2 linked regions of the Astyanax mexicanus genome follow. The protein of the gene in region 2 interacts with the protein of the main gene of each other region in a biochemical or structural test. Links are inferred from orthologs where the notes say so. Each region holds a gene or a part of one and is shown on either strand. Other genes may lie near its edges. The genes, in order: mapk8ip3 and mapk10.

Region 1 (3,928 bases), on a different chromosome or scaffold from region 2:
ACTCAACAGCCCTAAAATCAACCACACTTCCAACAGACCTTATGTTTACTTCCTTTTAGCCTTGAAATGATTCATAAAGTCATAAATGTACCTTCATAACACTTCATAACAGATTATAGATGGCAAAAAACTGTCTGACACTGTCAAAAAGACAGTCAAAACTGTCAAAAAGACCCTATGTGGCAATACAGCTTACTGTATGTGTGTGAGGGAATGAAGGCTTACAAAAATGTGTCATAACACCTAATAACAACAAGAAAAAATTAAGCACTAATTTGTTAACCACGTTTTATAACAGCTCAGACATTTAGCGGTGTGACATTGATGGGGATAACTAGTTTAAACCTCATAATATTGCTGAAATGATTGCCAGTGTCATAACACTGACTTTATAACACTTCATATAAGATTATAAATGGCATACAATCTGAGATAACAATAGTTGTGATATATTGTGTTATAACACTTCACAACAGCAGTAAAATCAACACTTTCAACAGAAATTGTGTTTACAACTGAAATAACTTAATACTTAATTATATCCTCGATTCCTAGTTCTATAAATTTGACTTCATAATAGAATAAAGGATTATTACATTATATTGCTGAAATGATTGCCAATCTCAGAACATTGACTTTGTAATACTTATAAATGGCATTAAGCTGCCTGACAGTGTCAAAAAGGGAGGGAAATCTGAGAGAAGGTGACCCTATGTGGCAATATTTGTGCTATATTGTGTTATAACACTTCACAGCAGCATTAAAACACTATTAACAGAAGTTATGTTTACAACAACCGAAATATTGTCGGAGATAACTTAATACTTCATTATAGCCCTAAAAATGATTCCTAGTTTAAAACATTTAACTCTATAAAACTGTTATAAAACAGCCTCTGGACGCCGTGCACTATACGTCAATCACGTTTACGTCAACTAACTCTAGCTTTACGTTAATTGACGTTAATTGACTCACCTCCTCGGCCTGCTTGCGTAGCGCCTTCTCGCGCTCGTACTGCGTGATGAGCTGCTCGTTGTCCTCCTTGAGCAGCTCGAGCTCCACCTCGTGCTCCTGGTTCTCAGTGAGCACGGCGTCCAGGTTCTCCAGCACGTTGACCACCAGCGGCATGAGCTCCTTCACCACCTCCTCGTCGTAGCTCCGGATGAGTCGCTCGAACTCGCGGTAGATGCTGTTGGCCAGGCCCGAGACGCGCTCGGACATGACGGACACTGAGCCGTAGTCGTCCTGGTAGACGACCTCGTCCAGCTGGAGCTCCATCATCTCGCCTGGAGGTGCGGTGGTGGAGATTTCCACCGAAAATCACAAAAAGAAAATGCTGGCCAAAGTAATGGAGGCGCTGTGGGAGCTAACTAGCGGTTCTCTGAGTCATCCAAATAAAACAGGGGGGCTTGGTTTCAGGAGCTAGCTGGTTAGCTCACTGTGTAGTTAGCTAGAGATATTTTAAAGGGGTGTCATCAGTTGGACGTGCCCCCACGTGTCTCCAGGGGTGCCCAGCAGCCTCATTCAGACAAGCGGTAGCTGGGTTAGCTAGTTAGTTGGCTGAACGTTAGGTAGATGTGAATGTGATGATGATGGGAGAGGAGCCGAGAGCTAAGCTAGCCTCTCTCCTTTCTCCCCCCCCACTCCCTGCGCCACAGCACGGCCTTAAAATCCCGATCTTTCCCCTTCTTCACACCCAGCTAATCCTCCGTTAGGTCCGTATCGGGTGAGGCTGGACTAGTCACCGGCGCTCCCGTTCCCACTCGGCCGGAATCCATCACATCACCGCCCGCGATGCACCTGCTGCTGAGCCGCCGCAGCCCGGGAGCCCAGCCATTACTGGGCGAAAAAAATCAATGGAGGATAAAAAAAAGAAAATAAATAAATAATATGGTAATAAATAGCTTACATACACTGGATTATGCTGGAGTAGCTGCCCCCATCACCACGACGTGGCGCAATCATTTCTCCTACAACATACTGGCAAATTCAGCTTTTTTGACATTTAAATAACCAACCTAGCTAGGTTAACTACAGACCCCAGCCCGGTGGATGATGTTGCGGCGGGGGGCGGCTGCTGCTGCTGTCCTCCTCCTCCTCTCGGCTGGGTGGGTAGGGAATCTCAGAGATCGCCCAGCCAGGCTACAGTGTGGGTGCGTTTATTTCATTTCCCACCTCTATTCAGACACGCCCCGCCCTCCACAGCTACGATTGGTTAATATATTCAATCTGCTGGGATTGATTGGCCAATGGTGCAAGCTCGCAAGCAGCACCAACAGCGCTAGGATTGGTCAGCAGGTCGTGCTCTATTTGCATAACGCTCGTGAGAATCTTCGCTGAGGTCCTGTTTGAGAATCCCGAGTAACAAGAAGAGGGCGGGGCTTGTCTGAAAACAAGTGCGGAATAAAAACAAATACCGCTGCATGGAGGGGAGGAGTCACCTGACCGTTCGGGGGTTACGTCACGGCGTCTGCAGCGAGCCAGCTCGTGCGGTGGCGTCATCATCACATTGTTCCTCCCACAGCAGGGCAGGCAGAGAATGGCATCCCTTCGGGAGAGGAAAAGGGGGATATTGAGAGAAATATGATCAAAATAGCAGACAGAGAGAGAGAGAGAGAGAGAGAGAGAGAGCATGGAAACCCATCCCAGTAATTTAGAATAGTCATTTTTTACTATTTCATTATTTTGAGATCCTATTTTGTTATTTTGAGATACTGTGTTGTTATATTAAGAGGCTAAGTCATTATTTTGATATACTAAGTCATTATATTTTGATGTACCAACGTAAAGCTCTATACTGACGGGATGAGTTTCTCAGGGGGTCCTGGGGTAATTTTCTCTTTTATGGGGGAGGGGGGAATAAAATCAGGGGGTCCTCTGTGATTTTATTCCCATCCGGAAAAAACTTGTATGCGTTTTTCTAAATCAGGGTTGCCAGGTCCGACAAATGTATCCAGCCCAATGTAGGTCTAAAACCCGCCCTTCAGAAGCTTAAATTAGCCCAAAATATATATCTGTCACACGTTTGAAGCAAATGGCAAAACAACTGAGTGTACAACTTAGTATTTTGTTTATAAGGGATTTAGTATCAGTATTGCTATTTATCATGAATTCATTAATAATATTGTAACATGAGTGTTTTATTAGTTCATTTATACGTTTTATATCCCAGTCAAGAACATTTCATAGTAACAATTAGCAAAAACAAAAAAAAATGACATTTTTAAATTATTTTTGTTCTTGCCCCTCCTGAACTCTCTTCTTTCCTCTTCAATATGGTTTTCATCGCCTGGTTATTTCTGTCTCTCTTTTACACTGTCCTCCCTTATGTTCTCCTGATTCTTCCAATGACATAAGATATAAGGCAACACCAACTTTTTTTTTTTTTTGGCGGCCATGATAATTTTTAAAAGTAGCCCAAAAAAACGCACACCACCACCCCTGACAATTTTCACCTGTGACAAGCCCAGTTTGGTGGAAAAACTGCAAACCAGGCAACTCTGCTCTTACTATTTTGAAAAGTTATTTGAAGAATTTTTTGCTGCAGTTTTATTAAATCCTATTCCTTATTCTGCCAGGCTGTTGTCATGTGGTTGCCATGATGTTGCTTTGCAGTGTGCAACACTAATTAGCATAGCGTTCCCTAAATGGTTTCCGTCTACAAAATGCTAGGCCCAGTGCACTTGTCTGGATATTTTTAAAACCCTTGAAGAACATGGTGAAAGGAGGGTAATAACATGAAATACAACAGAACGACAACAGTCTGTCATTATAAAAATGCATAAATTATTTGGGAAAACAAGGGCATTGTCAATTATATGCTTGATCGGTGCAAATGACCACCATTTCTCAATGTTTAAAAGTAAACATGATTAATTGTTTTAATTAAAATAGACAAAGGTTTTTACAAAATGTTCTATATATTTTT
Region 2 (3,928 bases):
CTAAATGGTTCTTGCCACAATATGAATTTTTACAGTTGTCCAATAGGGCTGTCGGATGTGTAGTAAGCTGATCACCTATACCTTTCCATAACACCTATACCTATCCATACCACCTATACCTATACATTTAAACCTTTACATACCTATACATTCATACCACCTATACATATACCTATCTATACCACCTATACCTATCTATACCACCTATACCTATACCTTTCCATAACACCTATACATATCCATACCACCTATACCTATACCTAACTAATAATCATATTTTTTGTGTTTATAATAAAATACATTGCAAAATATAATAAAATGTACATATGATTTTAAGATATCAGATTATCAGACCTAAACACAGCACAGCACCACGTAACAGTGTAGTAGTCCAAATCTACAAATGAAACCAATGGCAGTGCCCCTATTGATTGGTGAATACATATCCCTAGGCATAAAAGTGAGTGCCAGCAATCCAGGCACATGCATTCTGTGGTTCACCACACATGTGCTTTAATCTGACCTTCACTGCATTGATTTCAGCCAGGCGAACTGCAGCAGGTTCACAGTCTGCGGTGAATACACTCAGAATACATTCAGGATACACAGTGTACTCTCCCAGCTTAAGCCTGCATTCGCCTGGCGCCGCCTCAGCCTAACCAGCCTACCCGTCAGGCACAATCCCAGCAGGAACTGGCCCATTTTCAGAAAGCGCTCCGGGCTTCATATATTTGGCAACAGCAAAGTTTAATGTGCACATGATCTGCACCTTTCAATACTTATAACAATTTATCGATTCAGCATCACCATTGCAATTTGCAGAAGTGCAATGTCACATAAAGCAAATTGAACCATACATGTCATTCAGATTATGTTAGCCCAGTCTCATCTTTAATACACAAAGTTTTTTTTTATTATGTTTGTTCATCATGTTTGATCATTACTATTCCTGCTTCAAATATAGTACAAACCTGAACCTTTAAAAATCACTTAAACATAAAAGGAAAACCAGGAGTTAAGTACGTCCTAAGAGATGTGAATAAAGATTTTATATATATTTCTTCAATTATGTATATCACAACAGAATTTTCCATTATTATACAGCCCTATTATGTATAGAGACATTGTTTATTTTAGATATCAGAGGCAGTTAATATCATATCAGTTAATATCACCCAGCCTCATTTATTTTATTCTGATCTTTGATACACAGAGTGCATTGTTGCATAATATTGTAAAGGTTGTATCACTGACTTCTGGAGAAAATCTGAGATCATCCCAGCATTTTTAAATTTTTACAATTCATACTGACAAACAATTCCTATTATATACAAAGCCATGTTGATGCATTAATGAATAATCTAACATCTTTCTAAAGCTAAAGCTTAAACCTAAAAGCAATATATTTTTCATTTTAGTTTTCAACCTAAATTAAATGTACAATGTTGGATTTTGAGATCAACCTAAAATATGACACTTTGATTTCCTGATAAACTGACACATAAACAACACTGAAGGTTGACTCACTGTTGTGTTATTGATGAATATGGTGACTACCAACCAAACTTTTAATCTGTACAATGTCACAGTTGTGTCATTTTTACATAACTGATTGATATCCAACCAAAATTCAACGTCTGTACCACAATGAATGTTGATGTCAAATATTTTTTTAAGGATCTCTGACTTAATTTCCAACCACATTTAAACAGCCGCACAATGCTAGATTGTTGTCAACTCAATGTAAGGTCAGTACAACTTTAAAATGAGTGAACTCAATGCTGGAAAACGTAATGTCTGTCCAATGCTGATTTTTGACATTTATTGACTTTCATTTCCAACCAAAATTAAACACTTGAACAATGTTGGAGAGGTGTCAACTCAACATTGGTTTATGGTATTTGACTTCCTAGCAAACATTTAATGTTTGTTTAACATTTAAGCTTAATGTGAACCTAATGCTTGTTATTGATGGAAAATATAGCATGCGTCTAATGTTAGAGCTTGATGTCAACACGTTTCGTTTTGTATTTTTATTGGGTAGAAGGCATAGTGATGCAGTAAGGCCCAGTTTAATCCACACTAACAACTGAAGGGGGGGTTAGGCAGGACAGCCTGAGCAAACACTTCAGCACAGCATCATCAGCCTTCACAGCTACAGCTACCTCCTCTGCAGTCACCTTCAGTACAGCAGTGCAGCAATGGGCCTCGATGCAGGCTTCAGTTACATCTGCTACATGCGTGATAATCTGATAATATGACAATCTGTAATTCCGACTATATTGTTCAGACTGAAAATATAGTGAAATCGTGTGTTTTTTTTTTTTTGGAAGTGTGAATAAAATGGGCATGTCAGTAAATAATACATAGGCTGATACAAGTAACGTTACATCTTTACGCAGTTCTTTTCGTGTTTGCACTAAAAATAATACATTCATAAATAAAATTAATAAAAAAAAAGCCTAATGTATTTGGACCGCCGTTTAGCAACAACAGCAATAGCAGCAGCCAAAGCAAAACAACACCACCCCTCCTGGATGGATGCTCTACAGCCTCCCAGGCAGTCGATATCATCCACCCCACCCATCCATCCGTGCATCCCATCCCTATCCCCACCCTCCACCAGCGGCGTCTCTGCCTCCCCCGAGCCGAGCCACCTACCATTCCGCGCCGGCCTCACGATGCGCAGGTCCCGGTCATTCACAACATCCCGACGGGCTCCGCGGAGAGACCATGACGGTGAGGCGAGGTGGGAGGCGTGGAGGAGCAGGAGGAGGAGGAGGAGTAAAGTCGCTAAAGCCAAAATGACGGAGGGAATTATGGGCGCAAAACAAAAGAGACGACGGATAAAAACAGAAAACGAAAGACAGAGAGACAGAGAGAGGGGGATAGAAACAGAGCTAGAGAGAGAGAGAGAGAGAGAGAGAGAGAGAGGCTGGGCTTCAGCTGCTCGCTCGCTCCGCCGCTGATGCTGACGGCTGTACCATTGTGGAACGATGGAGGGGGGAGGGGGGACGAAGGGGGGCGGAGGAGGAAAGGTTAGGGGAAGAGAGGGGCGGGGCAGAGAGAGCAAGTTGCCGTGGCAACTAAAGCACGAGCGCGCGTGACGTCAAAGATAAAGACGTTATGTTATTTTTTATTTCATCCAACCGCATTCAAACCACGCCCCTTTTTAGGTTTTATTTGCTTTTTACGACATATCGTTATTATTGATCATTATAATTAAAATTAGTAATATTGGTAAACAAAAATTATAATAAAATATTATAGAAAGGAAAATGCAAGGGCATAATAAGCATTTTTGATATGGGACACATTTTGGGATCTAATATTTAATGAATTAGATGCCATTTCCTGCGTTTTGATGTATTTTTAACAGGTTGTTAGGTTGTACCAACTTGATTATTTAATTATTTCTGATAAGAATTTGAGCAGGTGACGCTCTGTGCACTAAATTAGGCTACAGAAGTATTCTGGTCCATTTCAAACCAGCACAAGAGGCAATGAATAAATATCATCAGAGTGGCCTCGTTCTTGTCAATACAATACAGTCCTGTCGAGCACAAATTAATGATAGTTTTTTATGTCATCATTAAACTTGGATGAAATGATAGCTAACATTAAGCACACACTGGACTGCCAACTAACTGTTGTGTGCAAATTCTTCTATTTTGTAAAGAATTTCCTTATGTCCATTGTGTTTCTGAGAATATCAGAACATACAAATACATGATGGAAATATACACATTTTACTATGGCTATTACTATTGTTGGAATGTAATGGAATAGGATGATGCTTTATAAGAGTGAATGTAACAATAATGTATGTAAGTAATTACAAAATTACAGAGAAAGGATACGTTTAATGGGAAAAACTCTTCAATTGAAAGGATGAGATATGGTTGGATAAGGAGGCCTCCTTATGAAA

Evidence for each region.
Region 1: the proteins of mapk10 (region 2) and mapk8ip3 form a complex in vitro, tested with the Homo sapiens proteins (3 studies listed by BioGRID, with this or other methods). The link is inferred for Astyanax mexicanus from reciprocal best matches to the Homo sapiens genes MAPK10 and MAPK8IP3.

What each region holds. Positions count from the first base shown.
Region 1 is NC_064426.1:27,611,170-27,615,097, forward strand, and holds the start of mapk8ip3 (C-Jun-amino-terminal kinase-interacting protein 3), read right to left. Parts: upstream 2,148-3,928; 5' UTR 2,019-2,147; exon of another isoform or gene 1,840-2,018; 5' UTR 1,282-1,839; coding exon 976-1,281; intron 1-975.
Region 2 is NC_064424.1:37,254,581-37,258,508, forward strand, and holds the start of mapk10 (mitogen-activated protein kinase 10), read right to left. Parts: upstream 2,761-3,928; 5' UTR 2,665-2,760; coding exon 2,662-2,664; intron 1-2,661. UniProt on the Homo sapiens protein: Serine/threonine-protein kinase involved in various processes such as neuronal proliferation, differentiation, migration and programmed cell death.